Ovis aries: one gene and its partners. The protein of the gene in region 7 interacts with the protein of the main gene of each other region in a pairwise test. Links are inferred from orthologs where the notes say so. Each region holds a gene or a part of one and is shown on either strand. Other genes may lie near its edges.

What was found.
Region 1: the proteins of LNX1 (region 7) and CUTC interact in a two-hybrid assay, tested with the Homo sapiens proteins (3 studies listed by BioGRID and IntAct). The link is inferred for Ovis aries from reciprocal best matches to the Homo sapiens genes LNX1 and CUTC.
Region 2: the proteins of LNX1 (region 7) and GDI1 interact in binary tests that used the Homo sapiens proteins (3 or more experiments, as listed by UniProt). The two-hybrid records come from large-scale screens. The link is inferred for Ovis aries from reciprocal best matches to the Homo sapiens genes LNX1 and GDI1.
Region 3: the proteins of LNX1 (region 7) and TSSK3 interact in binary tests that used the Homo sapiens proteins (3 or more experiments, as listed by UniProt). The link is inferred for Ovis aries from reciprocal best matches to the Homo sapiens genes LNX1 and TSSK3.
Region 4: the proteins of LNX1 (region 7) and NECAB2 interact in binary tests that used the Homo sapiens proteins (3 or more experiments, as listed by UniProt). The link is inferred for Ovis aries from reciprocal best matches to the Homo sapiens genes LNX1 and NECAB2.
Region 5: the proteins of LNX1 (region 7) and RUFY4 interact in binary tests that used the Homo sapiens proteins (3 or more experiments, as listed by UniProt). The two-hybrid records come from large-scale screens. The link is inferred for Ovis aries from reciprocal best matches to the Homo sapiens genes LNX1 and RUFY4.
Region 6: the proteins of LNX1 (region 7) and METTL21A interact in binary tests that used the Homo sapiens proteins (3 or more experiments, as listed by UniProt). The link is inferred for Ovis aries from reciprocal best matches to the Homo sapiens genes LNX1 and METTL21A.

The regions. Positions count from the first base shown.
Region 1 is NC_056075.1:20,477,539-20,481,736, reverse strand, and holds the start of CUTC (copper homeostasis protein cutC homolog), read right to left. Parts: upstream 2,801-4,198; 5' UTR 2,687-2,800; coding exon 2,626-2,686; intron 1-2,625. Other genes in the region: cytochrome c oxidase assembly protein COX15 homolog, read left to right, coding at 2,988-3,077. UniProt on the Homo sapiens protein: May play a role in copper homeostasis. Can bind one Cu(1+) per subunit.
Region 2 is NC_056080.1:80,001,185-80,005,254, forward strand, and holds the start of GDI1 (rab GDP dissociation inhibitor alpha), read right to left. Parts: upstream 2,801-4,070; coding exon 2,756-2,800; intron 1,684-2,755; coding exon 1,576-1,683; intron 1,408-1,575; coding exon 1,308-1,407; intron 1,160-1,307; coding exon 1,025-1,159; intron 578-1,024; coding exon 379-577; intron 114-378; coding exon 1-113. UniProt on the Homo sapiens protein: Regulates the GDP/GTP exchange reaction of most Rab proteins by inhibiting the dissociation of GDP from them, and the subsequent binding of GTP to them. Promotes the dissociation of GDP-bound Rab proteins from the membrane and inhibits their activation.
Region 3 is NC_056055.1:235,204,024-235,208,177, forward strand, and holds TSSK3 (testis-specific serine/threonine-protein kinase 3), read right to left. Parts: upstream 2,801-4,154; 5' UTR 2,704-2,800; coding exon 2,559-2,703; intron 1,721-2,558; coding exon 1,056-1,720; 3' UTR 144-1,055; downstream 1-143. Other genes in the region: protein FAM229A, read left to right, coding at 3,275-3,411, 3,493-3,639, 3,814-3,916. UniProt on the Homo sapiens protein: Serine/threonine protein kinase required for spermatid development and male fertility.
Region 4 is NC_056067.1:9,859,298-9,862,797, reverse strand, and holds part of NECAB2 (N-terminal EF-hand calcium-binding protein 2), read right to left. Parts: intron 2,687-3,500; coding exon 2,550-2,686; intron 190-2,549; coding exon 71-189; intron 1-70. UniProt on the Homo sapiens protein: May act as a signaling scaffold protein that senses intracellular calcium.
Region 5 is NC_056055.1:220,159,876-220,164,004, forward strand, and holds the start of RUFY4 (RUN and FYVE domain-containing protein 4), read left to right. Parts: upstream 1-1,329; 5' UTR 1,330-2,350; intron 2,351-3,529; exon of another isoform or gene 3,530-3,592; 5' UTR 3,593-3,635; coding exon 3,636-3,681; intron 3,682-3,769; coding exon 3,770-3,876; intron 3,877-4,129. Other genes in the region: TNS1 (tensin-1), read right to left, coding at 943-1,098. UniProt on the Homo sapiens protein: ARL8 effector that promotes the coupling of endolysosomes to dynein-dynactin for retrograde transport along microtubules. Acts by binding both GTP-bound ARL8 and dynein-dynactin.
Region 6 is NC_056055.1:209,711,281-209,715,481, forward strand, and holds the start of METTL21A (protein N-lysine methyltransferase METTL21A), read right to left. Parts: upstream 2,801-4,201; 5' UTR 2,697-2,800; exon of another isoform or gene 2,537-2,696; intron 2,493-2,536; exon of another isoform or gene 2,387-2,492; 5' UTR 2,296-2,386; intron 1,875-2,295; 5' UTR 1,842-1,874; coding exon 1,695-1,841; intron 273-1,694; coding exon 161-272; intron 1-160. UniProt on the Homo sapiens protein: Protein-lysine methyltransferase that selectively trimethylates residues in heat shock protein 70 (HSP70) family members. Contributes to the in vivo trimethylation of Lys residues in HSPA1 and HSPA8.
Region 7 is NC_056059.1:69,874,314-69,878,331, forward strand, and holds the start of LNX1 (E3 ubiquitin-protein ligase LNX), read right to left. Parts: upstream 2,801-4,018; 5' UTR 2,506-2,800; intron 1-2,505.

The DNA of each region.
Region 1 (4,198 bases), on a different chromosome or scaffold from region 7:
AATAGACACACAAAAATTTACTAAAGGCTGAATGATGACATGGATGTGAGAGTTGGACCATAAAGAAAGCTAAGTGCCAAAAATTGATGCTTTTGAACTGTGGTGTTGGAGAAGACTCCTGAGAGTTCCTTGGACTGCAAGGAGATCCAACCAGTCAATCCTAAAGGAAAGCAGTCCTGAATATTCATTGGAAGGACTGATGCTGAAGCTGAAGCTCCAGTACTTTGACCACCTGATGCAAAGAACTGACTCATTTGAAAAGACCCTGATGGTGAAAGACTGAAGGCAGGAGAAGGGGATGACAGAGGATGAGATGGTTGGATGGCATCACTGACTCAATGGATATGAGTTTGAGCAAGCTCAGGGAGTCGGTGCTAGACAGGGAAGTCTAGCGTGCTGCAGTCCATGTGGTTGCAGAGTCAGACACAACTAAGCCAGTGAACTGAACTGAATGATTATAAATTCATAAACATTCATGTATTTACACTAAAGAGTGTGATGAAAACAGTTTTGAATGTTTTCTGTAAGCACATACTTTTCTTAAAAAACTTAAGAATAATGAATGCATACTTCATGCAATAATATCTAGAGGAATGTTCAGCATATGCTGGTAATTGTTACTTCTAGGTGGTAGTATTTAAAATTACTTTTACTTTCTTCTTTTTACTTTACTGCTTGTTTGTTTGTTTGTTTACCTAATGCTGCTTTTATAGTTTTTTAAAATCAACTTTCAATTTGAAAAACAAAAATCTATCATTCCCTAACACCAAACTGCAAATGTCTCATTTATTTAAGAGACTATCAGCCTCAAACTCTGCAAGGGCCAAATGTTGGCTATGCTCTTAGCCAAGAGCACAGCATTAATTCCATGGGTTTCCTGACAGTTCACCCACATCAGCTGTTAGATCAATCTAACTGAACAGTGCTGTAGGGGTACCATTTCCCTCACAGAAGACAAGATCTTGGCGGGAATTCCCCAGCAGTCCAGTAGTTAAGGGGCTTCCCAGGAGGCTCAGTGGTAAAAAAATCCGCCTGCCAATGCAGAAGATGTGGGTTCAATCCCTGGGTAGGGAAGATCCCCACAATAGGAAATGGCAACCCACACCAGTATTCTTGCCAGGAAATCCCATGGACAGAGGAGCCTGGTGGGGCACAGCCCATGGAGTGGATAGGGTCAGACACCATTGAGCGACTGAGCATGTACCAGTGGTTGAGACTCTGGGCTTTCAACGCCAGGGCCTCAAGTTGGATCCCTGGTTAGGAGACTAAAATCCCATAAGCTGCAGGCTGTGGCCAAAAAAAAAAAAAAAAGATCTTGGCCAGAAGAGAGTAAGGATGCACATAAAAGGCTATGACAAAAAGAAAAGAGTAAGGCAGTTGTCCTAAAATAGGAAGTTATTTGAAGGGATCAAAGAGATTTGTTTGGAGCAGCAGTTCTCAGTGTAGCTGTCCAGTTAAGTCTGGACTAGGGGCCTCTAAGACACTTTCAGAGTCTGTACAGTGAAAATTATTTTAGTAACAATACCAAGATTTTAGTTGCCTTTTTCACTCTCATTCTTTCACAGGCAGAGTGGAGTTTTCGAGAGGCTACCTGTCACACTGAATGCAAAAGCACTCCATTCCTAATGAGAATTCCATTACGCCAGACATTAAAGAGATCTGCAAAAATATAAAACATTTGGTACTATTCTATTTTTTGTTTGCTTAGGAAAATAGTGATTTTTTTTTTTTCATAAAGTTTCAACATGTAATGGGCTTTTGTTTGTGAAAGAAAGTCGCTCAGTCGTTATCTGACGCTTTGCGACCCCCATGGACTTATCCAGGCCAGAATACCGGAGTGGGTAGCCGTTCCCTTTGCCAGGGGATCTTCCCAACCCAGGTGTCGAACCCAGGTCTCTCGCATTGCAGGAGGATTCTTTACCTGCTGAACCACAAGGGAAGCCCTTTCTTTTTAAAAGTCCTGTTTTAATTTCTAACATGTCCAATATCAATAAATTTAACCTATATAAATAAAAGGTCTTTGAGGTTCTCAATAATTTTAGGAGAGTTAAGGCGTCCTGCGATCAAAGTTTCAGAACAGCTAGTTTGGAGGAACCAAGTTTCCGGAGGAGGGACCTGGCAAATTCCCTAGCACCTGCCATGCCAGCCGATCCTGTTGCAGCTTGGGGCAGCCAAGCTTAGCCACTTCGGAGCGGTGTGGCTTTAGGGACAACCCCTATCCCCGCCGCAGCAGCTATAGGTTATTAAGCGGTCCCTCCAGGTCAAACACTGATCCAGCGCTGCCGTGAGAGGGTACCAGTATCCTCGTGTGGCAATGGGAAACGCGAGGCTGAAAGTTAACCAATTTGAACACGGTCGCACGACGAGAGGTGGGGGCGCCGGGATTCGAACCTACACACCTATCTGGCTCCAGAGCCGGGCCACTCTCGCCATCAGCCCCTCAGATTTCACATGTTTAAAGCCGAATAACAGATTACGCCTCACAGTGGGGTGTTTGTGAGGAGCAGGAGAAAGTACTTCCAGGGAAATCGCGATTAATCCACGGGCCAGAACCCCCGCCCGACCCGGCCCGACCCGCACCCCGCGGCAAAGTCGGCCACCGCCCCACCCCGCCACCTTCCGCACCCGCCTTCCCGGATGGTATCCGCGCCCGCTTCCGCTCGGAGGAGGCCCCCTGCCTCTTCATGCTCCACGCGTTCGTCCCTCGTGCTTCTTCGGTTTCCACTCAAAGAGTCCGGGTTCCAACGCGCGCGACCAGACAGGCGCGTCCTCCCAGCTGCGCGCATCCCGGCGCGTCCCCGACGTCCACGCCCCAGCAGCCCCCGCGAAAGCCCAGAAACTGGCGCAGGCGCAGTCACTGCTCGCTCCGACCTTCCGAAGAGGAGGAGCTCGTTTGTGTGACCCGGAAGTGCTTCTTCAGTCGGTGCGGAGAAAGGAGACCAGAGAGCGCAGGAGTTTGAAGGTGGCCGTTGGGCACTGTTTATAGCATGCAGCGATTACTCTTTACGCCCTTGACGGCCTTGCTGGGGAGCCCGTGTCTCCGGCTTCTGGTTCCTAGGGTGGCGCCTGGAACACAGGTAGGGCAGAGCACCGAGTCGCGCAGGCGAGCATGGGGTGAAAGGGGCAAGAGATATCCTCACATATCACGTTTCTCTAGCTCCTTGAAGTTCACAAGGCATTTCACTGTGTCTAGGGCTCCTGAGTCCGGATCCGGACCCACCACTTACTAGCTGTGTGCTCTTAGCCAAGTTGAGCCTCAATGTACTCGTCTGCAAAATGGGAATAATAGCACTTCATAAGTGTTGTGTTAGTATACACAGAGGTTTAGCACATAGTAAAAGCTCAGTGATTTTTACCCATATGTTTGATTTCTGCTCAAAGCTACTGGGTAGTCAGGTTAGGGATTGTAACTCCATTCTACAGAGAAGTAACTTGAGGCTTAATTTGTCTAAAGTTACTTAGTTAACTGGGCTTCGCAGGTGGCTCAGTGGTAAAGAATACACCTGCCAATGCAGAAGAGTCAGGAGACTCAGATTTGATCCCTGAGTCAGGGAAGCAAGATAAAATATCAAGTCTCCTGCCCTAGAGGAAGTCACAGTTCATTTGTTTGTAACTCATTTGTCAAATCTTTATTAAGGTCTTGTTGTGTAAAGGAACTGTGTATGAAACGAAGTTTGTAGAAGCCAGACTGACCAGACACTGCTGTCCTATAGCTCATAGCTTAGTGGGAGGTAGAGACAACCTCTGTGTACTAAATGATACATTGCTGTGTGATGGACAGGTATAGTGTGCTGGGAGAGTGACCCAGCACATATGTAGGGGCGTCTGGGAATACTTCCTAGAGGAGGTGACATCCCAGCTGAGATCTGTGATAGGTCAGTCAGGGGACAAGTAGAACCCCAGTTAGAGAAAAATCATATAAAAGAAAGGAAATAATCCTTATTTAATCCATATTTAGGTGTAGAGTTAAGTCTGGGAGAAATATGAGAGACAGAAGGTTCATGTAGTGTGGGGATGGATTGGAGGCAGGCAAACCAGTTGGGGGTAGATGCAGCCCAGATAAGAGATGATGTTTTACCTGGACAGTAGCAGTGGAAATATGACCAGGGTACTTCATACCAGACACAATGAGACTGTGTGAGTAGCAGTGGAGTGAAGCCTTTTCTTCTTTCTCCAGTTGTAATTTGTCTGTCTTGAT
Region 2 (4,070 bases), on a different chromosome or scaffold from region 7:
GCTCGCCAAGGCCATAGAGTGGGTACAGATACGGGCTCTTTCCATACCGAGCCAGGGATTCGCTGTACAACTTGATGCGGTTGATGGTCTCGAGACATGGCTGGTCCAGGTAGCTGGGAGAAATAGGGTCAGAAGAGGCTCCAAGAGCAGAAGGCCCAGTGCACCCCCACCCTGGCATCAGGCCAGCCTTCCCACCCTTGCAGGCCTGGGAAAGACCATTGGTCAAACACAAGGAAGGGACAGAAAAGGCGACAGGTGAGTGAGCCCGGAGCTGAGTATGGGAGGTAGGCAGGGTGAGCCAAGGGAGCAGCAGGCAGGAGTGGGAGGGCAGGGTGTGGGCCGGCTGAAGGGTCATCTGCCATGCCAGTTTCCCCTCACTCATCAGTGCGGTAGAGCGCTAGGGCATGGCCAGTGAAGTCAATGACATCCTGCCCCAAGTCGAACTTCCGGTAGACGTCACGCATGCTGGTGTTCTGGGGGTCGACACCCTCAAAGGTCTTGGGGTCGTTCTCATCAAAGTTTGCCACGAACACCAGGAACTTGCGGAAGCGCCGTTTCTCAAACATGCCCATCAGGTCTGTGAGGGCCACATGCAAAGCACCACTGAGGTACGGGCCGTGACCCTCTCCACCTGCCAGGCAGGCAGAGCAAGCCGGTGCCCTAACTCCCAGCAGAGTTCTCTTGCTGACCACTGTGTGATTTTCAATTAACCCCTCTGTGCTCATTGGCCTGTTTTCTCAACTGTACCAAGAGTGAGTCTGGCTGGACAGCCTCTGAGAGCATTCCCAGCTCTGACACTTGGGGATGTTTCACTGATCAGGTGAAGCCTCTGTCCAGGACACCATATTCCCTTCGCACTTGGACACCTCTCCTGGCAACCAGTGGGTGCACACAGGGGGATGATAGAGCAAGGGGCTTTTGGTACTGCACAAGAAACATGGCCTGCAGCAAGGGCCATCCTGCTCTTGATAGCTATCCCCCCTTCCCCCACCCCGATTCCCTGGCTCATGGGACCCACACTCACTGGAAGCCAAGGCTTCAGTCTCGGTAGATGGTACTTTGTAGATCTTGCCCCCCTTGTAGACAAAGCTGCCCTCCACCACCTTGAAGTCCAGGTAGCGTGTCACCTCTGTATACAGTAGCATCTTCACAAGCTGCCCTGCAGGGCGGTGTGGGAAAGGCAACACAGTCAGCATGGCTCCCTTCACAAGCTCAAGCTGGTCTGTCTGTCCCTGGTCTGCAGTCTGACCCTTCTCTGCTCGTCCCAATCACCCCGCCTCCCACAATACCTCCTCCGTCTCCCTCACCATTGGCCATGAGGAATTTGGGGATCAAGTCAACGTTCCAGTCTCGGCCCCGGCCCATTGTCTCAGGGGGCCCCTCCAGCAACTGAAAACGCTTATACAGCTGCAGGCAGCAGAAGGGAAAAGAGAGACAGAAAGATGCATCTCAAGGAACCCCCTCCCACTCCCGCCCCTGCCCCCGCCCCCCACCCAGAAAACCTGGGGAGCTGCTTCATTCAGCACCCCATGCAAGAGGTTAACGAGGGACAGGCCTGGGCCCAGAGCAGCCTACCTCCTCCAGGGGGGTGATGGAGGAGCTCTCACCCCCATAGTAGGGGTTCCGGTCCATGTGCAGCACCTTCTTCCCGTTCACAGACATGATACCCGACAGGATACATTCCTGAGTGAGGGGCAATGTTCACTGCACTCCCATCTGCCCACATTCCCACAAGCAGCCCTGACCATGTTCCCCACTCCAACCCTGAGGGGAGAGTCAACCTGAAGGGCCTCTGCCTCAACACACAGCTCCTTGCACCTGTGGCTGGTCGCTCTGCCTGAAATTGGGGGGGGGGGGGGACACCTTCATTTGACCATGGTTTCCTTTTAAAACCTTGCTGGGCAAAAAGGTGAACAAGGAAGAGGGTATCCAGCAGACACATGGATGGTCTTCAAGCAACCAAGATGCCAAGAAAATCATCTATCGACGTAGAAGCCCACAAAAAGGCAAATAAAACACAGGGATCGCCTAGCTGGACAAGCAAAGGACCCGAAAAGGAAGTAAAGGCTTAGCATGGTGCCGAAATCCCAGGCCCCACCCTGGGCCACTTTCCTCAAAGAGGAACCCCTGACCCTGAGCTTTCCCCGTCACAGTAGGGGCTTCCACACCCGACTGTTGGGGAGGCATCTCTCAGGGCAGCAGTCCAACAGGGTTCGGGGGAGGGCAAACAACCTCACCAGTCACTGTCACCAGCCCAAGGACAAAGGCTGCAAATGCGCCTCAGCCCCGAGGTCTCCATGGGAAACCGGGGTGGGGTAGTGGGAATGTGGTCACGGTCCCCACCACGGCTCCTTCTGGAACATTCCCTGGGTCCTCGGGCCCCCTAAGAACCTGGGAAGGCAGGATGAAAGCCCACCCTGGGAAGTCCCCCCGCCCCGATCTGACTGGAGGTCCCTGTACCACGACATCCCCGTCAGAATGAGCGCAAAATGAGAAGGGATGTTAAGTTGGTCCTGGGTAGGGGCTGGGGGTCGGGCCCGGGGAATCGGTCAAGAGAGACAGCCAGAAAAGGGGCCGCTTCTTGGCAGACCGGCCATGACAGGGATGGAGGCCGCGTCACGGTGGTTGGGGACGGGGCTATCTTTTCGGGGACCGAACAGCGCCGCGCAGGCACTGATGGGAGGATGGGGCCGGGGGCTGCAGCATCCCAGGGAGGAGGACAGGCGGCGCCCTGGACACCGGCGGCCGCACTTACGGTGAGTCCGGTTCCCAGCACGATCACATCGTATTCCTCGTCCATGGTCAGGCCTCGGTGTCAGCGCCCGTCGGCTCCTCCTCCTCCGCCACAGCCGCCGCCGCCGCCGCAGCCGCCGCCGCCGCCGCAGTGGACCAAAGATGGCGGCTCAACCGTGCCGCTCAACCCCTCCGCCACGTCAAAGAGTCCCGGCCCCTCCCCTCCGCCGCCGCGCCGACCGGGGGCCCCTGCTGTCCCCGCTTGCCTCCCGGGGAGGGTTGCTGGAGCCCGGGCTCTAGCACTCGCGCCACTCGGCGGGCCGCGCCGCTTTGCCGAGGGCCTAGAAAAGAGGGCGGTGAGGCGGGGCGGGGCGGGGCGGGGCGGGGCGGGGCGGGGCGGCGCGGCCTGGCAGACGGTGCTGAGGTCCGCCAGGGATCCGTGCGCAGGAGCCGCGCGCGCCCCGCCCCGGGAAGCTCGGCGCGGCCCCGCCGGCTGGGCGCGCGCTGCTGCAGCAGCCCGAGGCGGGCCCCTAGGGACGTGGGGGCGACTATTGTCGTGGCCGTCTCCCCCGCCTCCCTCTCCCGGGCGCTGACGGCCCCCGCCCTCCCCTAGTCGCTGAGGCGGGGGCCGGGGGAAACCCAGCTAGCAAACAACCCTCTCGGCCTCCGCTTGGTCCCTGGAAAAGCAGCCTCCATCCCTCCATCCTCGGGCCTCCTCTCTCGGCCGTCAGCCAAGTGCATCCTCCCTTCCTTGTGCCCAGCGCAGAAATGAGTGACAAGAAGCCCAAGCATGGCGACCCGTCTTTATTTTATTCGGAAGGAAACCACGAGCACCCCAGGGCTCCTGCCAGGTACTCCCGACAGGAACAGGTCCCAAACCCCGTGATCACACCCATCCCACCTGCCATGTAGATCCCTTCCTTCTTAGGCCAAAGGAATAAACCCCAGTGTACGTCTTATTGTTAGCACATCACCAAAAAATAAAATAATAACGCCAGCTAAGCGGGACAGACAAATAGTACTTCCACACTCCCCCCCAAACTCAGGGAATGGAACAGCTCCTGGCTGCTACAAGGAACCCCATAGAGCCTGGGAAGAGAGGACTGGCTACACAAAAGCACTATCAACAGCAAGCAGCGAAGGTGGAGAAATCAGAATAAATAAGGAGAAGGGGGGTGGATTTTGTAGAACTGATGGCCCCTACCTTTATAATGATCAAGCCTGGGAGATCTGTCTACTGTCTATGCAGAAATATATACACCTTGTGGAGAGAGATGTGGTGGGGAGTGGGCAGCCTAGGGAAGACCCTCAGCAGGCTGAACAGGTAGCCTGACAAG
Region 3 (4,154 bases), on a different chromosome or scaffold from region 7:
ACAGGAATCCCTGGAGACCCTGGTGCTTCACGATGCTGCTCCGGTGATTCTTGTACATAATCTGGTGTGTTCACCAATGATTTAAAGGGATCGTGGTCAGGGACGCCAAGAGAGTGGTGGTCACTTCCACTTCAAACCTTCAATGAGGGGGTGGGATGGAGAGAATGCTGAATCTTTTTTTTTTTTTTTTTTCATGGGATAGGATTTTTCTCTTTGTAATTATTTCTTTAGTTTAATTAACCTTTTGGTTGTTTGTGCAATATTATATATTTTAAATTATAATGTATCTCCCCAGAGTATTTTGTAGCTGGGATAAGAAAAAAGGAAAAAAAAAAAAAAAAGACTCTAACAGCTGTTAGTTTTGTAATTAAAAAAGAAAGAAAAAAGAACTTTGTCCTGAACCTTTTCCAGACTTGCCGTTAACAGCTATTAAAGAGATTCAACAGAAGCTGGAAGGTGTCTGGAGCTCTGTTCTTGTCCCTTACAGCAGCTGCCCCAGAGCCAGGGCAAGACAGGGTGTGCAGGGTGCCCTCCTGCTTGGAGCCTGGGGGAGGGGTCAGGATGGGAGGTAGTAGCCTGCGTTCCAAGGAGGTCCCTTGTCTTCATCCCAGACTCACCTTGGCCTTTGGGGTGAGGAAGGGACAGGGCCCCCAGAAGGCCTCTCACCAAGACAAGGAGTCAAGAGGCCGTTTCTGCATTCCCAACGCTTCTGCTTTTATTTGGAAAGGAAGGTGCAACAACAGTGGTTCCAACTGTTCTTGGTTATTTTTCTCTCCTCCCCCTGTATGTGTATGATTCTGGGGTCTATTTTTAAGTAACTTTAGTTAAACACCTGTATGAAAATCACTTGTCAGCCATAATAAAAGGGAAGTCTGAATGAGGCCCTCTGGTTCCATGAAGATCTTTAAAGGGAAAGAGAAGTAAAGCTGGGGAGGGTGTAGGTAAGTTTAGGATAAGTAGACTTAAAGTGTAAAATATAGATATCACCATCTTAGAAGCGGGTTTTTGGGTTTGCTTTCTCCCCCTACTTTATTGGGGAGGACTTGCCATTGCTTTTATGAAGTGCTTGCTAGCCATGGATGCCAACTAACTTCTTCAATTGAAGGCCGGAGAGTCATGTCTGGTTCCAGGAGCCGCTTGAGCAAGTCCTGGCATTCAGCCGAGATGCCCAGATGAGTGGGGAAGGACACCCCCTTCTGCTGCTGCCACAGCATCTTGGGGATGTCTGTGTCGTCAAAAGGCAGGCTGGCACAGAGCATGACGTGCAGGACCACGCCCATGCTCCAGATGTCACCCTTCGTGCTGTCATGCGGGATACCCTGCAGCACTTCGGGGGCGGCATAGGCGGTGCTGCCGCAGAAGGTCTGGCTCAACTCCCGGCGCGATTTGGGCAACACCTTGGCAAAGCCAAAGTCTGTCAGCTTCAGGCTGAAGCCCTGCAACAAGGCGTTCTCACACTTGAGGTCCCGGTGGGCCACACCACAGCCGTGGCAGTAGCGGATGGCCTCGACCATCTGACGGAAGAGGGCCTTGGCCCGGCTCTCAGGCAGTGGCCCCCCATTCAGCACACAGTCAAAGACATCCCCTCCTTCAGCCAGCTCCATCACCAGGTAGATTTTCCCGTCGGCAGACTCCAGCATCTCATACACTTGGATGATGTTCTTGTGGTCCAGGGTACGGACAATCTGGAGCTCCCGAGGCAGGAATCTCTGGATAAACTCTAAGGAAACAAAAGAGATGGAGAGTCAAGTCCAGAAGAGCCTAACTCCTCCCTCTGTCTCTCTGTCTTCCAACTTCTGTCTGCCCACCATGTCTGGGTTGTGGGCCTTGGTTCCCTTTAACAGCCTTCAGTGTCAAACCGCCTGGACACTGCAGAGCGTTCACTTCTGTCTTTGTAGTTAATATATTATTCAAAGGAACTAGTCCGTCAGCCTCAGGGACTGTTGTGAGCAGCCTGTGAGACCATGGATAGCAAAGTCCTGTGGGAACTTTTAGACAAATCTATTGAACTCAGTTATGAGGCCTGATCTGCCCACAGCGTGGTAAGCTAGCCCCTCTCACCTGTGCCCCCTGAGCTGCCGTTCTTTCCATGAGCCCTGTCTTTTCCCCATCTCTCTCCCTTGCATCGGTTCCTGCCCTCTGCTAGCCCTGGCCATGGCCTGACCAATCAGTTGACCTCCTAGAATAAGAAAGGCGTAGTAGGCTCTGACTCTGCTTCTGAGGGTCCTTCACTGCCTGCCATGGCAATCCACTCCAGTACTATTGCCTGGAAAATCCCATGGACAGAGGAGCCTGGCAGGCTACAGGCCAAGGGGTCTCAAAGAGTCGAACACGACTGAGCGACTTCACTCACTGCCTGCCACATTCATTTTGGACTTTCAGAAGGTGTGATTTTCCTAGACTTTCTCTGTTCCCCACTGACTGACCCCAGAGCCACAGCCTCTCTTGCTTTCTTTAGTTTAAGACTAAAGGGGAGGAGGGAATTGATCCTTCTGACTGGAGGAAGCACCCACCCACCTCAGCCAGCCCTCCCTTCCTCCAAAGGGGCCCCAGCTCACCTTCTGGCCCTCCCATCTTGTCTATAATTTTAATTGCCACTTTTCTTTGGTGTTTTTTGGAAACTGCTTCTTTGACTTTTGAGTAGGTCCCTTCCCCAATGGTCTTGCCCAGCTGGTACCCATTGGAGAGCAGAAAGTCCTCCATGCTGTCTAGCACCTCCTTCCTTCCTATCACCCTCTCAGCTCATGCTGCCTCTGCGAGGCAGCGCTACTCCACCATCGCCCTCGGCCCGCTTCTTTTCCCCCCAAGGACTTCATCCGCAGCCGCCCCCAGCGCTACAACATTCTCCGTCCGGACACAGGAGCCGCGGATGGTGGGGAGGGAGAGGGTCAGACATTTTAAAACTCTGGCCCAATTGTGATGTAAATGCTGTGTGACCCTGGGCCAAAATGGGCAATGCCCCTATCTGCCCTCACCACCACCACCACTACCACCGCAAAACCCAGCATGGGTTAAGTCACCTCCGTGCCCCGCCCCCGCGCCAGGCAGTGGGTCGTAGCCCCGCCTGTAGGGGTTGCTGCGATGTCTGCGCTCGGCCCGGGATGCCAGGCTCTGTTCCGTGGACGCCCCCATCGGGCAGCAGGGGGTCTGCGCGACCCATGGCCAGAGCCCTCCAGCTCCCGGCTCGCCACCGCGCTAAGTGCCCGGGCGGCGCGGGGTTCCCCGGCTGGAGGAACGGGTTCTGTGAGGTCAGCGCGCCGCGGCCCGGGTCACAATGCAGCCCGTCCCCTCGACGCCTGGGCCGGGACGCGCCGCAGACACCTGCCCGGCTCCGCCTGGACCGGAGCGTCCTCCCGCGGCCAGGGCTCGGGCAGCTGCTTCCAGCCTGGGACCGGCCTCGGCCTCCGGCAGGTGAGCAACGGCCCGGGGGGCGGGCGCGGGGAGGGGGCTCCCGGCCGCCCGGGAGCGGCCTGACCGCCACTCCCCGCGCAGAGCGCCCCGGGGCCTGGACATGAGTGCCCAGGAGCCCCCGCAGGGTCGGAGATTCCCCATTGAGGCCGGAGACTCCCCTGGCCTTGCCGCCGCCCCCGAGTCCCAGGACAGCCCGGAGCCGGTAGCTACGGAGCACAACCCGGTCAGGTGAGGCCAGCGCCCCTGCCCGCGGCCCCGCCCCTGCCCGCGGCCCCACCCCTGCCGGCTTTCCGTCCCCAGACCAACCCGCACCCGCGGCCGAACCCCTGGGACTGATGCGCCCCCTACAGGATGGGGCCGGCCGCCCCCTCAACGCCCCCCGTCGCGCCCCGCTTTCCGCAGGCCGCTTCGACGCTGCCCCGGCTGCCACTGCCTGACGCTGCTGCACGTGCCCATCGACGTCTACCTGGCCATGGGCGGGAGCCCCCGGGCCCGCGCCACCTGAGCGCGCCTGCGCAAGGCGGCTCCGCGGGAGCCGGGCGGGGACGGGGCCCGCCGCGGGCCACCACGCTGAGGTCGCGCGCGCGCCGAGCACGAGACAATGATGCACATTTTAAAATAAAAGAATGATGCACATTTTAATAAATCACAGCATAAACTGTTCTTTCCACTCCGGCTGGCCGTGTCTGTCTTATCCCGTCGGCTCGGGCCCGCCGGCTGCTCCGCCCCATCCAATATCACCT
Region 4 (3,500 bases), on a different chromosome or scaffold from region 7:
GGACCACTCTCAGAAGTCCTCCCGGGACCCCCCAGCCAGTGCCCCCGACCCCAGGCCACCGCTCTCTCACCAGGCGGGAAGCTCTTTCCTTGCTCCGCAGCCATGAGCTTGTGGTTAGGGGCGTAGGGGGGAGTGGGACTCCCGGACCAGGTCTCCACTGCGCTGTGGCTGGGCCGGCTGTTGTTCTGTCTGCAGAGGGGGTAGGCGGATGCACCCCGTGACGGGGGCTGCAGGGCCCTGACTGCTCGGAGCCGCTCTGACCAACTGTGGGGCTGAAACGTGCACAGAACTCCTGGGAGCCCCATCCCCTGAGCTGCACACAGTGGCCGCTGTCTCACAGAGGCGGCTGCCCGCGGGTGGGGCTGGGATCTGAACTCAGATCCTTTCTGGGAACCCAGACCCTGTGCCTGGGAGGTTCCGTTCCAGGTTCCAGGGCCTACGAGGCTGAGCCAGGCCCCCACCTCCCTGCGGCTCACAGCTGTCCCTTGCCCACCCTGCCTGCCTCCTGGTCCTGTGTTTAGAGGCCTCTGGGGTCGGGGCCTGGGTTTGCTAACAAGCCCCCTCTCCAAGAAAAGAAGCCGTAGGACTCAGTTGAGAGCGGGCATCTAACAGGACAAAAATCCATGATCCTGGCTCAGCCTGGCCCCACCCCACCCGCCACGCACACTGATGTGCAGAGACCAGGACCCCTGACACGCAGCTCACCAAACGCTGTGCCTGGCATGCAGTAGGGACCCAAGAAATGCCCAAACCCCCATGTGCAAAAATACTAGAAAAGTCACTGCGGACACACAAACACACACGCCCGTGTGCACGGCCGATACGCCTGGTGCCCAGCGTGGCCGCCGCTCGCTCTGGAATCTGCCTCCTGTGAACCTGAAAGCCCAGCATCCTCTCCCTCTGTGCCGAGGGGCTGACCACCCCCAATCCCCGGGGAGGAGAAAGGCTGGCAGAGTCTTGGGGGTGTCGGTCCTGGGACCTCTACAAACCAGCAGCAAATGAAACATGGCCCGCGGACTGTGAATGGGTGCAGCGGGGGTCCCCCAGGGACAGGCTGCTGGCTCGAATGCAGGTCATGCCGTCCCCAGGGCTGGGAACCAGGGTGGCTGGGGGCCCTGCAGCTGAGAGCTGAGACAGCTGAGGTTTGGGGACTGAGAGGTGGGGATGCGCAGGAAGCAGATGTATGTTCCCATCATCCCTACGTGAGATTTGGGGAGGGAGACAGGTGTAATGGCTGACACGTGGGGGGACAGCTGACTCGTGGGGGGACGGCTGACTTGTTGGGGGAAGGCAAAGCGCAGGGAATCAGCTCTAATAAGTGCAGCGCTCCATCTGATCTGTGACAGAAAGGAAGCTGCAGGTTTTTTAATCAAGATAGTGATGATAAAGGATGAAGGAAATCTATGTGATAGGAAATCCCCTTAACCTTGGAGACCCTCTGAATCACGAGACTGATCACGGATGCAGAGTCTAGGGCTTGGCTCCCAGGGACCCCAATCCCAGATGGTGTCACCAGGGCCCAGGACTCTGCGTCCTGCATTTCCCAGGGGACTGGGCTGCAGGCCCTCAGAGCAAACACGTTTTGTGAACAGCATCACCGAGCACCTCTGCAACCACAGTGGGTTGGGACGAACCCCCACCTAGGAGCAGCATCCTGCCGTGCCAGGAGACGCCAGGCTCAGTAAGCTCAGGCACCTGGCAGGTGCGCCCAGCTGTTCCTATGGCTTAAAAAAAATATTTATTTGGCTTCACCGGGTCTTAGTTGTGGCATGTGGGATCTAGTTTCCTGACCAGAGATCGAACCTGGGCCCCCCTGCATTGGGAGCGCAGAGTTGTAGCCACTGGACCCCCAGGGAAGCCCCTGTTAATGTGTCTTTACTTCTGCTTTGCCTCAGGCACGTCAGCTATTCAGGGAAGGAAGAGCACAGAAGAGCTGGTCTGAACTTGGGACAGCAAATGCCCCCCACGTGGCCCCTGGGGGCTGGGCCTGCCAGCCGGAAGGAGACTACTCCTCTCCGGACCCCAGGCTCATTGCCCCAAAAAGGGGGGACCCCAGGTGTTTTCCATGTTCTCAAGGACCCGCAAACAAGGCCTTAAATAATACTAACTAACCTCAGGAGAAAAACCACTCCATTTCACTGCTGTTCAGTCTTTCTGAGGTGGTGATTTGATGGTACGGTGTTTTCAATGCCCATCTACCATCTCACAGCCTCGAAACAAGCAGGGAGCAGGTCGAGGGGTCACCAACAGGGCTTATTTTTACAGTCATGGTATTTTTCATTCACAGCCTGAGATAACTTGTTTTCCAATGATGGTAATAACCACTGCAGTTTCCCAATTCCCCAGTTTTAAAAAATGAGCCCAACAGTGGAGCAGTTTCAGATCAACAACAACAACATGACAAGGTAGGTATACAACTGTCCCCACTTAACAGGTGGGGAAGTGGAGGCAGGAGAGAGGCAGCAGCTCGCCCAAGGCTGCCCAGCCCCCAGGCACACGCCCATCCCCGCCACGCAGCAGGCTGGCACAGCTCACTCCCATCCACGCACCGGATCTGGCTGGTCTGCTCTTCGATGGCCTCCACCGCGCTCTCCACCGAGCTCAGCAGGGACTGGATCTGATTGGCCGTCTCCTTCAGGAGGAAGCGCGTCACAAACTGGTCCACGTTGCTCCCGCCCTCGTACACCTGTGGAGGGAAGGGAGGGGGCACAGAGGGAAAGGGGTTGACGAGGGATCTGATACACCGACTTGGGGTCACCCTCCCAGGGCTCCTGCAGGAAGGCAGGGGCTATGGACTCAGAGCCCAAGGTTTGAGCCACAACAGAAATCACAGTGTCTACAATACTGCATTGAGGACGGAAAGGCAGAAGGTGAATGAAATGCTCAGCACTGTGCCTATCACATAGCAAACGCTCTGTGAACGGTAGCTGCTCTGATGAAGATGGTAACAGTGACGACAGTGCTGGCGAAGGCGATGGTGGTGGCGCTGGTGGTTCTAGTGACGACGCTGGTGGCCACTTCTGTTCAGCATAGTATTGGAAGTCTAGCCACAGCCACCAGACCAGGAAAAGAAAAGGTATCCAAAATGGAAGGGAAGGGGTAAAGCGGTCACTCTATGCAGACAACATGATACCCTATACAGAAAACCCTGAGGACTCCTACATCCAGGTCAAAAAGCAACAGCTAGAACCAAACATGGAACAACAGACTGGTTCACAATTGGGAGAGGAGTACTTCAAGGCTGTATATTTAATTTATTTAACCTGCCACCCTGCTTATTTAACTTGTATGCAGAGTACATCATGCAAAATGCCAGGCCAGATGAATCACAACCTGGAATCAAGACTGTGGGGACAAACATCAACCACCTTAGGTATGCAGATGATACCACTCTAGTGGCAGAAAGTGAAGAGGAACTAAAGAGTCTCTTACCGAAGGTGAAAGAGGAGAGTGAAAAAACTGGTTTAAAACTCATTCAAAAACCTAAGATCACAGCATCC
Region 5 (4,129 bases), on a different chromosome or scaffold from region 7:
GATCTGTGACCTGGAGGGGCATCCAGTCAAGTGAGGCAGAGGAGTCACTTCGGTGCACACACACACACATGTGCACATGTACACACCTGGCCTCGCTGGTTGCCTCAAAAAAGGGGGATAAGGGAGCAGGGACTACCCACACCATACATTCTGAGTTGCCCAAACTCTGTGACCCCTAGGTGGAGGGACAAAAGACACCAGCATAATCCAAACCCCATACAGCAAATGAAACTTAGGAGGCTGCAGCCTTCAAAACAGGGAGGTAGACTGGGATTGTGCGGGAAGCCTACAGCAAGGTTGTCTAGTCCCCGGTGACCCCAAGTATCCCTCCTCCTCCTTGGAGAAATCCAGTGCCCACACCTACACCAAGCTTGCTAGTTCAGGGGACAGAGGCCTCATCCAGGACAAACACCTGCTTCCCTGCACTGGCCTATTCTCACCTACCTGGGTCAGCTTCCCATTTGCAAGGCTCTAAGACTTACCCAGAACAGAGAGTGCAGAGGTGAGAGTCCAGCTCCCCCACCATCTCATGTCAGTCCTGGCTCTAACTAGACCCTCCCTGACTCAGAAGGCCCCCTCGCTCCTGACTATGGAGCCCTGGTCAGAGACAACAGTCCAGCTACAGGTGGGGACACACAGTCAACTGCTGGACTAGCTCGGGGAAAATTCATTCTTTCAGTGCCTTTCCCAGCAAGCCCAGCCCTGCCTCTCTTGGGTGGCTCCTAAAATCTCGCCTGAACTTTTTGCCCTTTTAAGGGTCAGGTCCTACATCACCCTTCTCCCGGGGTCACAAGACAGCCAGAGGAGACCTAACACGCTGCCCCCTCCCCTGGTCGGGGCTCCAGCGCGCCCTCACCCACGTTGGGTGCTTTCCCCGCGGGGCTTTTTACCTGTCTCAGCTGAGCCAGGCTGTGCCCGCCACCTATCCGCACAGCGCCCTACCTGAAGCAGCAGCCGCCTGCTCTGGGCTCGGACTGAGCCCGGGGGCTCTCGGTACTCCCACGGCGCGGGGGCCGGGGGGCTCCCCGGGGGCTGGGGGCCGCAGCGGGGCCCGGGCTCCAGCGCCTCGCAGCACACCAAGCTCACCGTGCAGCCCATCCGGCCGGGCGCCCGCCCGCCGCTCTCCCTGGCCACCGCTCGGCCCAGGGCGTCGGGAGGGGACCAGCGACGCCCCCAGCCCGTCCCCGCCCGGAGCCTCCTTGGCCCGCAGTGCCAGGAAGCGGGGGAGCGCGGGGCCGGGCGAGGGGCGGTGACACCGGCGCCCGGACGCAGCCAGTGAGGAGGGAGACCCGAGGGCGCGGTGGCGCGGGGAGGGGCACGCGGGGTCTCGGGACCCGGGCGGCAGACCCGCCGGGAGAGAGACAGCGCGGGCGGGCGCGACGGGAGAGGCAGGAAGCAGATAAGGAGAGAGAATCAGGGAGAGACGGGGACACGGGGGACGGAGAGGGGGGACGCAGCCTCTGCACGCGGGAGACCAAGTCCCGAAGAAGAGACCGGCAGGAAGTCCCCACCGAAGGACGGAGCCGAGCTTGGGTACCGCGTGCGCGCCAGGGCTTACGCGCGGCTCCTAGGGCGGGGGTGGGTAAAGTGGGTTGTCCTCGCAGGGGCCTGCTGCTCTGTTCCCTGCGCTCAGTACTGGCTGCTGGGGACCCCACGGGGGAAGAACCCCAGCCTCAGGGAGGCAGAGCCCTAGCCAGGGTGGGAGAGTCCCAGCCCACCTGGGCAATCCACCCAGCCCGTTCCTGGATACAGCCTTTCACGAGTGCTTTCACTTTCGACGTTTCTGGGGTGATTCCCAGAACTGGGGAGATGGCACCGGTGGTCAGCAGTAACGGGGAAGAGAAGGGAGACATGTGGTGGGACCCTTGTTCTCTCCCCACCTGTACCACACTCAAAGTGACAGTGAAGACCGGCGGCGATCTTGGGGGCAGCATCGTAGCCTCTTTGTGCCACCTGGTGGCGATAAGGAAGAAAGACAAGAGCAAGTGACCTTGATGAGAAGCGGAAAGAACGTGCAAAGCACTCGCAAAGCAGCAGTTGCCTCTACCTCTGGGTCCCCATCTCTGCTGGGCCAACTAGTGAATCTGCCCCTGTTCTGCCTAAGAGGAACCGTCTCCCATCTCAGCATCTGCCCTGGTGCCCTGCCTCTACCACTTCTCTCCTGTGTACAGTCTTCCGTTCCTCCTGCTCTGACCAATATTTCCCCTTCCTCCAGGGTGCTGGACTGGGCATGAGTCACTTCCCAGGCAGCAAACTCTGGGAGAGGCTGTACAGAGCGCTCAGTCACAGATAACAGGCTGAGGCTGCAGTGCTCCAGCTTTCCATGCCCCAAAGAGCCAGGCCTTTCCGGGTGAGTAGCAAGGAGACCCCTGGGTCTCGGGGTGGTCGGATAAAGGGAGTGATGCCAGGAGCAAGGGCAGAGGAATCCTGGATAGAAATGAGGAAGAGGAGGCGGTCCAGCTAGGTGTTGGTGGATTCCAGAGACCATCTGGGCTAAAAGGAGCTGCAGAGACCCTCCATCCAACCCCTTGGTCTACAGGTGGGGACATCCAGGCCCATGAAAAGTGAAGGATGTGCCCGAGGTCACACAGTGAGCTCGCAGCAGTGCCAGGTTGGAGGAGCAGGGCTCTTGATTCTCAGCACCGTGCTCCCTGAATACCATCCCCTGAGCCTCCCTCACCTTCCCTTCGCTTCGTTTTCCCTTCCCCTTCTCTGCGTCCCAGCGCTCCTTCACTCCCACTCACCCCCAAATTCCAGCCACCACAGCGTGAGAGGCCGGACACCTGGCTTTCCCACCCTGTGCCTGCCTTTACTTCAGGCTCAAAGAATAAGCCCATGGGCCCTAGGGGCCACGTCTTTCCTTTCTGAGCCCCAGGATCCACTGTGTGTGGGGAAAACAGGCTGAGATTCCCTGGGGAGAGAGCAGCAGGATTAAAACCCTGCTCCTCACACCCCACACCCCAGCATTCTAGCCCAACCCCCCACTCTGTGGCCTTGCCTTGCTTCTGCCTCCTGCCTCCTTTTCCTCAAAGAACATACATTTTCCACTCAGCTGGGGCCCAGGAAAGGATGAATGTGTGTCCCAAGGATGATGACTGTTCGGGCAAGGCCCCCTGTGGGGAACAGGACCTCACCCCCTCAGCCCAGCGTCCACATGGCTTGCACACATGAGCCCTTAGGACTGCTCATGGTCAGTCAGGGTTGAGGGCATGGGCTCTGCAGGCACAGGGACCTGAGTTCAAATTCTAGCTTCATCCCTTAGAGTTTGGTGACTTTGGATAGAACACCCTGTCTGAGCCCCCCTCTCCTTGTATAAAATGGAGTTGATAACCTCCCAGGGTTACTGTGGGGACTGAATGAGACAAGGGTGTCAGGCAAGGGCACAGTACTTCCCTCCCAGGAACAGCTCCCTGGGAGGGTGGGGAAACCCCACCATCCTCCTCCTGCCTTGCCCCGAAAGAAGGAGCTGGGGTTTTCTCCTACCAGTGGACTCGCCGTGTGACCCCAGAGACGTCACATTGTTCTTTAGGCTCTGATTCTTCCTTTGTATGAGGAGAGCGCTGGGCAGCTGTAACCGGAGGCTCTTTCCCAGGCCGGTATTCTAGACCATAAGGAATCACGTCCCTCAGATACTCATGGCCAAAGAAGGAGCTGTCCTCAAGATGACCAGGGACCTGAAGGGTGAGTGTGTCCAGAGAGAGCCCTGGGACGGCACTTGGGGAGAGCCCCACTCCTCTCTGAAGTCTGACGTCCACTGTCTTCCCCACAGCTGCTGTCTCTGCCATCCTTCAAGGCTACGGGGCTGGGCGGCAGCCGGTGACAGATGCCAGTGCTGAGCTGCACAGACTCTGTGGCTGCCTGGAACTTCTGCTGCAGGTAGGTCCTCCCCTCGCCGTCTCTCCCATCTCTCCAGGTCCCAATAACCAGTAACCGAATGGGCTTTCCCAGGCGTTGAAGGAAGAGCCCCTGCCACTCTTGTTACCACACTCTACCCCGTCTCTGTGACTGTGCATGCACCCTCAGTCGTGTCTGACTCTTTGCGACCCTAAGGACTATAGCCCACCAGGCTCCTCTGTCGATGGGATTCTCCAGGCAAGAATATTGGAGTGGGTTGCCATTTCCTACTCCA
Region 6 (4,201 bases), on a different chromosome or scaffold from region 7:
AGCCTTCCTGGAGTTGTGAGCATAGCAGTTGTGGCCTGTGACTCATAATAAGTACAAGGAGAAGGACAGTAACCCAGTAAGAGGGAAACTGACAATGGGTTTGCGTCATGAAAAGGCGACCCCTCCACTCACACAGGAGGGAGCCCTGCGTCACACTCACCCAGCAGGGCAGCCACTATGCCCACCAGCCCTGTGCCAGCACCCAGCTCCACAGCAGAGCAGCCCCTGAGTTCCACAGTGCCCATCTCCAGATACGTGGCAAGAACGACAGCCTGAGTCAAAACACAGTATGACAGTTAAGGTCAATAAGCGCTTTAGGATTTCCAGCAGGCTCCATGCTCCAGGAAGTTACCACACACCCCCTCCCACTGCAAAGCTCAACTCCCAGGTTAACAGCACCCATGGGAACTCAGCTGCTGCTGGTAGGGTCACCTAGAGCAAACATGGATACCAAGTCCCACGGCCCAGCTGCCCCCAGCCCCACCAGAGGCCCTTGGGGCAGTCAGTGATTCTGCCCATCCAAGGCCGGGTCCTGCTGAATCTGGGAAGGTTAACTTCTGTGTCACAGCACTCTGACACTCAAGGTTTACAAACCCATTCTGGCAGAGCTGACATGAACAGTCTCTGTGATTTGGCTTAAGGAATGTCCAGTTCCTAAACCGAGTTCAAATCAGCAAGGCCACAACCAAAGGGGACAAGCAGAGCCCCACCAAGTCTCTCGGAGCTGCATCCCTCTCTCCTGCTCTCCTGAGCCCCTAACACTCATCACCCCACAGCGACCGGACATCAAGGGGTAAGTTTCAGATGAAGGGTTGGACTTGATATGTGAGTTAGCATTTGCAAACAACTCTAAAAATCAATGTATGCTCTTAACATCACTTTAATTTTTCATGGCCACATACTATTAGTATACCAAGCAATTCCTCTTCTCAGTGAGAATGAAGGAGACTCATCCATTCCTCACTATTCTGTATCTTTATTACTCTTTCTGAGAAAACTTTTCTTGTTACCTTGGACTAGATTCCTAGAAGTAGTACTACTGGGTTACAGATATATCAATATTTTGTATCCCTGAATGTTTCTGACACCCCCAATACAATGTTAAGATTGTAAAACTGTATCTATGCCAATCATTTATCCAGCATTGGCTGAATCCTGAGTTCCCACTGAATCCCAGGTGTGGCTAGAGGCTGAGGGCAAGTCTGCTACAAGCAGTTGAAAGAACAAGGCTGGGGAGAGGAAAAAGTAACCATTATAGTGTCGTTTTTTGATCATGACAACTATGGAAAACTTAAAGAAAACACATGATCCTCCTGTGGGGCTTTGTCAGTTACATTTCCTTTGTGCAGTGTTAAACTAGTGTCCAAAGCAGCTAGGGACTCCAGTGGCAAGTCATTTGATTTCTCTCAGCTTTCTTTACTCACCCTTAAAATGCAATCTGTTTGGTGAGGTGGGGTGCAGGAAAATGATCTAATGGGTAGAGGTTTTCTGGGGATGGGGTGTGGTGATGCAATGTTTTAAAACTGAGCATAGTGGTACTTGCACCACTTTGTGAATTTACTTTAAAAAAAAAAACTTAAACTGCAAAGTACAGTATATAAATTACAACCCAACAAAGCTGTTAACTTTTCAAAAATAAGAGCACTCTTATCATCAATTGCTGATATTTTCAGAGACGTCCGGCGATCACTTACCGCGTCCCAAACCACCGCTGCGACTCCCAGTTGCTTCCAGTCCTGACGGATCTGTATCGTGTGGTTTGCAAAGGAGAAGGTGGCCAGAGGCTTGTGGAATCTCTGCAGCCCCATCTCCGCGGTCTCCACATAGGGCACCAGGGCCATCTCGCCCCCGGCCAGCTCTCTGCTCCCTCCAAGCTGTAGGGCAAAAGAATCTTGAGTGAGGCTCTAGGTAGAAAATGCACGACCTCTTTAGTAGCTCCAAATGCTCAAAGCCAATTGTTACAAGTTCAAAAGAAGAAAGAGTTGAGGCGAAGTCTCTAATCCCTTTTGCACGGCCCTCCTGGGAAGTGAGATTTCGCTCTGAACTCAAGCCAAAGGTGCTGGATGCCCTATACCCTCAGCGGTAACCACTCAGTGAATTCGCAGCGCGATGAGTGAGCGAAGTGGAGGTGACAGCTCAGGACGCGGAGAAAGTAGCGCTTTCTAAACCGCCTGGGCCCGCGTGGACGGCGGCTTGCAACCCGCCGCGGTCGGCGGGGCATCTATTGTTTTGTGTTGGTCTCCCCTCGCTCCCTCTCGCTCGGTGAGTTCAATGGGGACCACCACGGACTCGAACCTGAACTTCAACCTGGGGTTAACGTTGTGATTATCCTGGTTTATGGTACCGGCTGGATATACACGGTCTACGCAGATCCATTTCCTGGAGACTGAAAGTGAAAGACACTCGGGCATTCTGAATCTCTCGCGGGGAGCGGGACCCTGGGTCCGGCATGGAGTCGCCCCCCTCCGCGGCTGGGAGCCCTCCCCGGAGTCGCCCGCCCCCCAACCCCAAACAGGGGCGGCGGACAGAGACGCACGTCCTTCCGCCGGGCCCCGGGGCTACGGGCAGCTGCGGCGTAGGGGCGGGAGCCTGGAGAGGGGCCGCCCGCTCGGCCCGGCCTCACCCCGCCCCGGGAGCGCCGGAACCTCCCCGCCGGGGGCGCGGCCAGCGCCCCGGGAGCCCGGCGGGCCACGCACTGGGGCCCGCGGCACGGCCTGGCCTCTACTTACGGCTCCGGAGACGGCCTCGCGAGGCGCGCGCGCTGCTCTCCCCGCCCCCAAGGTCGCCGGCGGAAATGACCGGCTTTAAAGGGCCAGAGCCCGGGTAGACCGCCGCGCCGGGCCGGGAGGGGGCGGGTGGCCGGCGCTGGGCCACCCGTTTCCGGTCCCCCGCCCTCCCAGAACACGCGATCCCCGAGCGCCAGCGACGCGGAGCGGCGGGTGCAGTGGGGACCAGCGCGGGGATGGCGGGGCGGAGGCGGGGGCGGGGCGGGGTTCCCGCTGCGTGTGTCCGCAAGGTATCCGCACCCGCAAGTCAGTTTCTCTGGCCGCCGAGGGTGGAGCTCGTGGGGATCCACGCTGTCTAAATCGGGGAGTTCTATAACGACCACTGCAGGCTCGATCCTGAACTTAAACTGGGCGGACTCGATCCTGAACTTAAATACTAGGCATTAACAGTATGATTATTCCGCTTTACGATACCCTCTGTTATTACTGCCCCGCCATCATCTCCAGTATTAGATACAAGTGACATTCGCAAAGAACCAATGAATATCTACAACCTTAATGCCATGCTCCGGGACTAAATCAAACATCTGCAGAAAGCCGTGGACCGGTCCTTGCAACTGTCTCGTCAAGGAGCTGCAGACCCCGTGATCGATAAAGACAAGAAAGCCCTAATGAAAGAGATCCTCAGGTTCAAGTCCCTACTGAGCACCAAACGGGAGCAGATCGCCACACTGAGGGCGGTGCTGAGAGCCAACAAACAGGTGATCTCATTCTACTGGTGAGCTATGCTAGCCAACACTTTATGCCTAAATGTTTTCAGTGTCCACTACCATCAGGATGGGAGAAGGAAATGCCAACCCACTCCAGTATTCTTGCCTGGAGAATTCCATGGACAGAAGCGCCTGGCGGGCTATAGTCCTTGGGGTCACAAAGAGTCGGGCACGACTAAGTGACTAACACTACTACACTACTGGATATACACCGCTGCAGAAGCGGGGGCGCGGAGGGCATGGGTGCCACCGCGGCCGGGGACCGCGAAGCCACCCGCCTGGCACTGGAGAGGCGGCGGGTCTGCCTGCCAGTCTGTGTGCTAGTTCTCGCGCTCGCGCTTTTGTGTGTGTGTGTGGTCTTAAAATTTGTGCGCTTGCGGGTTTTTAGTTTTAAGGGTGGTCAGTTAGCGGGTGTAGGAGAAAATTCGCCCCTAAGAATACGTGGTCAGCCATCCACCACCCATCACCCATTCACCATCTCACCCAGGTGAAGTCCGAGTTAGTGAATTCGCGTGCTCCGTGGCTGCGCAGTGGGAAACGCGACAAAGCCCTTCTCGGAGCCCGCACGCGGCACCCTGGCCGGGGTTGTTGCTAGCGCCGTCAGCCGGGATCCTGTCTCCTTCCTTCCCCGGCCGAAAGGTCAGCGCACCTGCCCTGGGGGCACCCGTTCTTGAGACGAAAGCTGCTCAGAGTGTGGCATCTGGT
Region 7 (4,018 bases):
CAGCCACTTGACTTATCTGATGATGGGCTTTCTGCCAGAACCAAGGAAGTGGAAGCACTGAATGCCCCTTGCCTTGTCCAAAAGTCTGCAGGATACCTAAGGGCCAGTTCTCCAATGTCCATCTGGAACATGGATTGTGCAGGGGACCCCATGTTCTTTTGAGACTTGGCCTAAAGTACTGATAGTAACCACCACTGACTACTGTGTACCTTCTAAGGGTCAGAAACTGGGATAGATGCTTCACAGGTTCTTTTTATAATCATTCCAATGGTTCTCCTTGTTAAGTAAATTGTCCCCATCTTATAAATAAGGAAGTAAGGCTTGGGAAGACTTAGTAACAGCCTCAACATTATGGGTTGAATTGTATCCCCCCAAATTCATATGCTGAAGTCCCATGTCTCAGAATGTGGCTGGATTTGGAGATAGGGCCCTGAGAGAGGTGACTGAGTTAAAGACAGGCCTTGAGGGTAGACTCTAATCCAACTAATGACTGGCTCTCTTAAGAAGATGAAATTTGGACATACAGAGAGAGACGCTCTCCTTAAAGAGGAATGACCACATGAGGACACAGCAAAAAGGTGGCCAGCTGCAAGCCAAGGTGAATGGCCTCACCCTGATGTTGGACTTCGGGCTCCAGAACGACGACAAAATACATTTCTGTTGTTCAAGCCATGCAGGCTGTGGTACTGTTACGGCAGTCCCAGCAGCCTAACAGGTGGAGGCATCTAGGGGAGGATGAAGTCAGTGTTCAACATCAAATCAGTGCAATTCTGTTCTCTGCCACCTTCCTACACATGGCCTCTGCTGTGTAACTTCTCCCCACCTCCCCCAACAGGCTGCCCAAAACCTCCATCCAGAATCTCCCAGACTGAGTGGATCCCTCCTCTGCGATCCCACAGCCCTTACCACACTGCATACATTGATAGTGGCACACAAGGGACTCATGATCTTGTGATCAAATTGAGGGTAGGGCTCCTCTTATCTTTATCTCTGGCATCTCCCATGGAGCCAGTTAGCATGTATTGAACACGTGCGCCAGTCAGGACTTCATACGTGTTATCTCATTTATACTTTAAAACAACTCCTTAAGGTAGGTATCACCGATTGTTCCCATTTTACATGTCAAAAAACTGAGGTCAGAGGTGTTACCTGAATTAGCCCAGACATAAAGCTGAAGCTCCAATACTTTGGTCACCTAATGCAAAGAGCCAACTCATTGGAAAAGACCCTGATGCTGGGAAAGATTAAAGACAGGAGGAGAAGGGGGCAACAGAGGATGAGATGGTTGGATGGCATCAATGACTCAATGCACTTGAGTTTGAGCAAACTCCAGGAGATAGTGAAGGACAGGGAAGCCTGGTGTGCTGCAGTCCACGGGGTCACAAACAGTCGGACACGACTTAGTGGCTGAACAACAGCAACAACAGAGCTAGTAGGTGGTGGAACCAGGATTCACCATTGGATGGTCTAATTCTTCAGGCTGTGCTCTTCTCCTCCTGCCCTGCTGCTGTGGTCTTGCTATAAATGTACACTCCCTCCCTACTCGAGGGCTGTGCTGATCTGAAACCGCTCCTTCAGCATGCTAAGCCCAAGTGTGAAGCTCCCCTCCCATGGAGAGCTTTCTCACTCATAGCCCTCCCCCAGCCCCCACTCTGCCTCCTTCAGCACCCTCTGGGCATAGGGTCTACATCTTGCACTGATGTGTGACCCAGAACTGGGCGCTGGGGCCACCGCTTATCAATATCTGTTGAACTGGCTTCAGTGTCCAGGGATGGATGTGAATAAGGATACACGACACAGTGGGGTATTGTCCTGGATACTGTGACTCTCCGTTTCTGGATCCTCTCATCAGACCATTTGCTGGAATATGCGACAGACAGGGTAGTCTGTCATTTGCTTTAGAAAGTAGAGTCCCCATTCTACTGGAAAGAGGCAGGAATGGAGACAAGGTGAGCTGTCTGTCACTTTCCTACACACTGCTGGGCAGGTCACAATTTCTCTGCACCTAAGTGCCTCTGTGGGTAAAACAGTAACGGAAATGCCTATTGTCTACGACAGAAATGGGACAAAACACGTGAATGTGTTTTGAATACTGATAAAGAATAATGTTATAGAAACCCAGTCACCATTAATGGGATTACTTACATTTTAACTGACCAGTTTGGCCAGTGAAAAATGAAATCAAAAAGTAGTTTTTATTTTTGAAAGTCAAGGAAGTGGTATCCTTGAACATAAAGACAGTAAATGTCCTGAGGCCTTTCTAGAGTGTTGAAAGTATTTCTAGGTTCTCCTTAACAAGTGTGTGTATGTGTGTGTGTGTGTGTGCCCTTAACAAGTTCTCCTTAACAAGTGTGTGTGTGTGCCTGTGTGCCTCTGTGTGTGTGTGTGTGTGTGTGTGTGTGTGGTGTATGGCAGGAGTGGGGTCGGGGCTGGGCTCGGAGAGTCAGGACAAAGTTTTCTCCAATTGCCTGAGACGCAACCCTCTGGAGGTGGCAGGCCGCTTACCTTTGCTGCATTGCGGATCAGTTTTCAGCTGTGTGAGGCCTCCGGGTGAAGTCCATTTGGGAACTGAGTTTTTCTGACTCAGCAGTAGCCTGGGAAAATTTCCCTTCTCTTTCCTGTGCCCTGTCTTCCAGACACGCATGAGATCCACTCCACCTTGGACTCAATCAGTGCATCCCCTGCCCCTGCTGCAGGCTCTGCACAGAACTGAGCCATAACCCCGAGAGCAGCCTCTGGGGAGCTTCCAGGGAGAGTGGCTACCACTGAGCAGCCACTCAAGAGCATCAGCGATGTGTCTGTTCTGGTCTGGATGGGCTGAGTCTCCCTCTAACTTCCTTCTGCTCTTGGCCAGAGCCAGGGTCCTTTTGTTCACCTTTAGGGCTGCCAAGTCAGGCCTACCGCACCCCTGGATGTTGTTTTCCTGCAGGCAATGGGAAAATGAGCTTGGAGCCAGGGAAGGGAAATCAACAAGGAAATAAACACAGGGTCATTACCCCTCCAGGTCATCACCAGGCTGGGACATCATCACGCTGGGATCACTTTCTAAAGAGGCAGGAGCTGGCCGCTGCCTGAAGGGGCCCCAGGCATTTTTTAATTGCCCCAGGCATTTAAAAAATTTTAAATATGCAAAGAAGTGTGCATTTCTATCAGAAGTGTGAAATCTATGTTGGACCAATCAAGCAATCCTGACTCGCTCCAATGCCTTGCCAAATCTTTCAAAGATTTTTCCATAGGCAGCATCTCTTGTAACCAAACACTGGCAAATGTTTGTAGCCAAAGGAAAAGAATGAGCAAGTTTATGGCTGACACAAGCCGAGACTTTTAAAGACACAGGTAAGACTTTCAAGACATCCTCTAAAGATACAAGATTATTGTTTGAATAAAGTTTTCTTCTACTTACTCTTCAATGTCATGGTCATCATCAGTGGCATCATCTTTGCCAGCATTTATTGAGAGCTTATCATCTGCCAGGTGCTGTGCTAATGACCTCAACCTGTGTTATTTCATTTAATTCTCAACATAATTCTATCATCCTCATTCCCATTTTGTAGATGAAGAAAATAAGGATTGGAGAGATTAAGTTACTCCTGCACAGTGACCCCACTAGTTAAAAATGTAGAAATTGCCCTTCTGGAAGGATGCTCTTCTGAGTCTTGCTTTTCCCAACAGTCAGCTTAAGCACTTCGGTGGGCTGACAGCTCCTGTGATGGCCAAAGAGTTGCTTAAACAAACTCTTAGGCCTGGGAATAGAATTCTAAACAGAACCACGGCTCATCGGTTAGTTAAATGACCTCTTCCAGGAGTTACGAAGTGATGCTACCTTTATGTGACTCGTACATAGGACTCACCTAGCACGGCACCCTCTCTTCTTCTCCAAGGGGGTGCTGCTGGCTGCTTTCACCCAGTTCTCCACTGTGATTCTGACTGACCCAGAAGGAAGGGCCCTGTAAATCTCTTGGCCTCTGTGTGTGCTTCAGTTATGGTCTGATCACGCAAATTTGTCGTTTTGACTCTA